Saccharomyces cerevisiae S288C: one gene and its partner. The gene in region 2 interacts genetically with the main gene of each other region. Each region holds a gene or a part of one and is shown on either strand. Other genes may lie near its edges.

The links.
Region 1: of YCH1 (region 2) and RDL1, changing one enhances a phenotype caused by changing the other (phenotypic enhancement), as found in Saccharomyces cerevisiae (one study listed by BioGRID).

What each region holds. Positions count from the first base shown.
Region 1 is NC_001147.6:847,802-850,620, forward strand, and holds RDL1 (thiosulfate sulfurtransferase RDL1), read left to right. Parts: upstream 1-1,833; coding exon 1,834-2,253; downstream 2,254-2,819. Other genes in the region: YOR283W (phosphoglycerate mutase), read left to right, coding at 1-344; HUA2 (Hua2p), read left to right, coding at 677-1,408; thiosulfate sulfurtransferase RDL2, read left to right, coding at 2,479-2,819. UniProt on the Saccharomyces cerevisiae protein: Thiosulfate:glutathione sulfurtransferase (TST) required to produce S-sulfanylglutathione (GSS(-)), a central intermediate in hydrogen sulfide metabolism.
Region 2 is NC_001139.9:903,599-906,191, forward strand, and holds YCH1 (phosphatase YCH1), read left to right. Parts: upstream 1-1,638; coding exon 1,639-2,085; downstream 2,086-2,593. Other genes in the region: PCT1 (choline-phosphate cytidylyltransferase), read right to left, coding at 1-1,150; trifunctional formate-tetrahydrofolate ligase/methenyltetrahydrofolate cyclohydrolase/methylenetetrahydrofolate dehydrogenase ADE3, read left to right, coding at 2,336-2,593. UniProt on the Saccharomyces cerevisiae protein: Protein phosphatase.

The DNA of each region.
Region 1 (2,819 bases), on a different chromosome or scaffold from region 2:
AAAAGTATGCTGATAAACATGGTGAAGGCTCCTTTAGAAATTTTGGGGAAAAAAGTGACGATTTTGTTGCTAGGTTAACTGGATGTGTCGAAGAAGAAGTTGCTGAAGCATCTAATGAAGGTGTCAAGAATCTAGCCCTAGTTAGTCATGGAGGTGCTATCAGAATGATTTTACAATGGTTAAAGTATGAAAATCATCAAGCTCATAAGATCATTGTTTTCAACACCTCTGTCACTATAGTTGATTACGTCAAGGACTCCAAGCAGTTTATTGTGAGACGTGTCGGAAACACCCAACATCTTGGTGATGGCGAATTTGTCGTCAGTGACTTAAGATTACGTTAGACACTATATGGTTATTCACTGTTGGGTTTTTCTCATTTTGTATTAGAAATGCGGTTTAGGTAGTAATAGAAATTTCGCATGCGTGTATTTTATTTTAAAACATATAGTTCGTAAGGGTTTATCTAAATGCAGTAGATGTTCATAAATTATAGGGGTTTTATGTTTTTATATTATTGATATAGTTTTTCACATGAGATGAGAACGACGCGTTTATTTTAAAGGAAAGAAAACTGTGTCGTAATATGTAACAAGACTACATTGATACTCCATAGCAGAGAAATGGATATGTTCTGTCGGTGGTAAATTCAGGTGAATTGTATATCAGTGAAACTATGCAACAAACAAAATTTGGCAAGATGTATTTGGACCACGATTCGGTAGTTGAGTACTCAGAAGATGAAATTGTCGAAGCCGATCGTATTACATTGGGCTATAAAAAGAGATTGTCAATGATTGAAAATCAAATGCGACATCTTTTGGAGGATTTTAGTTTGGACGTTCAGCAGATTGAACCCATTCTTGCCGACTTGCAGAAGTACTACGACGCGTTTCTACAACTTTTACAGAAAAGGAACAAATCATTACAATGTAAGAGGTCCACTCACCAGCCGGTCCCATCCCCAATGAATAGCCAGACATCAACAAATGCAAAGGTTAATTTGAGCGGAAAGCTTATGAAGTTTCAGCTAAATAGTGTACAAAAGTTCGACGAAGAAAATATACTAAGGATTCTGCAAAATAAAATAGAATTCGAACATTATTTCCAAATTGATAAAGGTAAGAAGCAAAAGGTGCTATTACTTGCCGTATATCAATGCCTCAATGGGCCAACACGTTTGCATAAAGTGCTTAATATTGAGGGAATTATACATAATAATAGTATCAGAACTATACTGGGCAAACAAGTGTCCAGTTCTAAGTGGACAGTGTTTCTGTACGATGTAAAACTAGTTTTATTGGCGCATAGACAAGATGTTCCGAACTTAGAAACTAGCAAGATGATCGTCAGATATGGTGATTTATTTCCCTGTGCATTGTACTTCAAAGATCATACAGCATACTAAGCGCTTTCCAGGGACACCTTCTGTCGCAAAATATCAGAATTTTTCTTGATTAAACGCAGCATATTGAGTATATGAAATTAACGGGACACTGTGTGAAAAATTTGTAGTTGTACTTTTTTGTTATCCCCTTTGGTAGACATATGGACGAATTACTACTAAGATTGGCTTCCATAAGGCCCAAATCCAGATATCACCTACGGTATGTCCTTTTCCTACTTGCAATGACAAATAATTTGTTATTTATCTTGGAACCTATATAAGTTACATCTGATTGCTTTTGTATTTTTTTTGGAGAATATTATTACCCGCGGGGAAGGAAGTAAGGGGAGAATTTTTGAGGTGTATAAAAGAGAGTGGAGGCTTAATCAATCAAAGAATTCTTTCTCGTTTATTTTCAGGGTTTGTGACTAAGAAACGATATTAAAATGTGGAAGGCCGTGATGAATGCTTGGAATGGAACCGAGAGTCAAAGTAAGAATGTTTCAAATATTCAATCTTACAGTTTTGAAGACATGAAAAGAATCGTTGGAAAGCATGATCCTAATGTGGTTTTGGTAGATGTTAGAGAACCATCTGAGTACTCGATTGTTCATATTCCTGCTTCCATCAATGTGCCATATAGATCGCACCCTGACGCATTTGCCTTAGATCCTTTAGAATTTGAGAAACAGATTGGCATCCCAAAACCTGACAGTGCCAAGGAGCTAATATTTTATTGTGCTTCTGGCAAACGCGGGGGAGAAGCTCAAAAAGTCGCCTCCTCACATGGATATTCAAACACCTCACTATATCCTGGCTCTATGAATGATTGGGTTTCTCATGGGGGTGATAAACTTGACTTATAGCCTTGTATACTCTAGGTATGTACCCTGTGTATTTTCGTAAGCTAGTAACGTATTATGCCATTTATGTCACACCGTTCATAATATTTGCCTATTGCATTGGCTGTGATAGCGGCGGCGCAAAGAAATTAGGAAGTATAAAAAAAAAAATACAAAACTTAATCTGAATGGAATAAGATAGCGATAACTCTCAACAAATGGAAGCGAGACAGAAGAAAAAGACCAACGATGTTCAAGCATAGTACAGGTATTCTCTCGAGGACAGTTTCTGCAAGATCGCCTACATTGGTCCTGAGAACATTTACAACGAAGGCTCCAAAGATCTATACTTTTGACCAGGTCAGGAACCTAGTCGAACACCCCAATGATAAAAAACTATTGGTAGATGTAAGGGAACCCAAGGAAGTAAAGGATTACAAGATGCCAACTACAATAAATATTCCGGTGAATAGTGCCCCTGGCGCTCTTGGATTGCCCGAAAAGGAGTTTCACAAAGTTTTCCAATTTGCTAAACCACCTCACGATAAAGAATTGATTTTTCTTTGTGCGAAAGGAGTAAGAGCCAAAAC
Region 2 (2,593 bases):
TGTTAGAATTTGTGTCTTCATCATCTTCCTGACTGAAAAGATTTCCATTGTCATCCGGTGATTTAGCGGTAGAGTTTTCGCCCGTAAATTCGTTGGCAAACTCTGTAGCCGGAGAGGCCTCCCTGATTAGCTTCCTAGTAAACGGATCATCCAAAAAATTCTGTTTTCTTTGTCGTTGATTTTGTTTCTTTAATTCATTGCCTATTAACTTGGAGTAGAGTTTTTTGCCCAACGTTTTCTTTAGCAAGATTTCACGGACTTCGAAGTACAAGTCTCTGGAGGCGTTATTCAAATTTGTCTGGTTTTTCTTGAAATATGACCTGAATTCATTGATGTGTTTTTTGAACTCCAGTTCGTTTTTCTTCAACCAAGAAACGTTCAGCTCCTGTCTGGTAGCACCCCTTGCAAAGTTTCTCATCAAATATTTGTCATAATCTCTGATGATCTTTGTGATAATATCACTTGTAGAGACACCATTGGTTCTTTGGGTAGTCAAGAATTTTCCCATCTCCTTTATTGGCTTGTAGATATCGTCGCTGTCGGCGCTAACGTAAGGAATATCGTCATGTGCCACGTAGTCAATCTTGTGTTCTAGTAGAAATTCTGGGGTGACACACCAGGGAGCGTTGGGCACGACTTCGTCAACCCATCTGCAGTGCGTTAAAGTTTCACAACGCTGCTTATCGGTCAGCACAGTCAAACCTTTTAGTTTGTGAGTGATTTTGTCGCTAGGCACACCAACTATCAGTGTTACATTGGGGAAAGCCTTCTTACACTGTTCCAGTTGCTTCATGTGGCCAAGATGGAAAAGATCAAAAACACCATCTGCATATATCCTGATGGGTCTATCCGTTGGAGGCAAATTGAATCTGAAACCTTTAGGACGATACTTGCGCAGTTCCTTGGGCAACTCGTTGGTGTAACGAGCCTCCTTCTCTTCAAACTCCTTCGTCAACCGGCGACGCTTGCGGGGAGTGAGCTGTGTGTCCTTATTTTCATCCTGGTTCTTACTCTCATCCTTATCCTCATTGTCCTGCTCTTCCGTTTCCTCACGCTGTCTTTTATTTTTATTTTTTTTAAATAGGTTTGATAGCGATGAGTTAGAAAGCTTAGCCCTAATCGAGGACTTCCCTGTTGTTGGGTTTGCCATTTTTCTTTGTGTCTGCTGTGCTTTGTACTACCAAGAGAGAATAGCAAGAGTGAAATTTGAAAGTTAAACAATACAATAAAGAAAAGTGACTGGCGTATGCAAGAAAGGGGAATGGGTATAAAAAATACAAGAACGGCAGAAAAAATAAAAGAAACAGGAGAAACAAACAATGGTAACTGTACTAAAACCAATACCAGATATATATTTCATACTTATTAAAAAGCGTTAAGAAACGAAGCGTAAAAACGTAAGAAAAAGAATGACTATATAACGGTAGGTCTTCGACTCATTTTTTTCTTCCTACATGCAAACGACAAATACGGGTAATGCACATTTCGCTTATTGGGTTCTTCCCTTTCCTTTTTTCCATTTTTTTCTTTCTGGCTGTCGCTAGCCTTTCTACTTCCTCCGCACATACAGTTTTCAGCACAGTATAGATAGCTGTGCAGCCAGATAGAAGCAAAAGAGAAGTCAATTGCAAAAAAAATATGGACTCGTACTCAATAACAAACGTAAAATACCTGGATCCGACTGAATTGCATCGTTGGATGCAAGAAGGACACACTACTACGCTGAGGGAGCCTTTCCAGGTAGTGGATGTGCGAGGCTCAGATTATATGGGGGGCCATATCAAGGACGGATGGCACTACGCCTATTCGCGCCTTAAGCAGGATCCGGAGTACTTACGTGAGCTAAAGCACAGATTGTTGGAAAAGCAAGCGGACGGCCGCGGAGCGCTGAACGTGATTTTCCATTGTATGTTATCGCAGCAGCGCGGACCGTCTGCAGCGATGCTGCTGCTTCGGTCGCTTGACACGGCGGAACTTTCTCGCTGTCGTCTATGGGTGTTGCGTGGGGGGTTCTCGCGCTGGCAATCCGTATACGGTGACGACGAGAGCGTTACGGCGGGTTACCTACCCGATCTGTGGCGTTGACAGGTTTACACAATCGCACGTGATCATATATTTGCCATGACTCCTCCCAGTGACAATTTTGTTCTTTTTTCCTCTTTATCGCTTTCGTACTATGGTCAGTCATTCATTCATTATATACGCGCTCTCCATAACCCGTAACTTTTTATTATATATAGACTCGTTTACAATACAACGATAGCGATACCATTCAATTGAAGTTGTGAGACCAGGTAACGAGACGAACACAACTTTACAAGTCAAATAAGAAATCATGGCTGGTCAAGTGTTGGACGGCAAAGCATGCGCTCAGCAGTTTAGAAGCAATATTGCTAATGAAATCAAAAGCATTCAAGGTCACGTGCCTGGGTTTGCACCTAACCTTGCCATCATTCAAGTAGGCAACAGACCAGACTCAGCCACATATGTACGCATGAAGCGTAAGGCAGCTGAAGAGGCCGGCATTGTTGCTAATTTCATTCATTTAGATGAATCCGCTACTGAATTTGAAGTTCTGCGTTACGTGGACCAG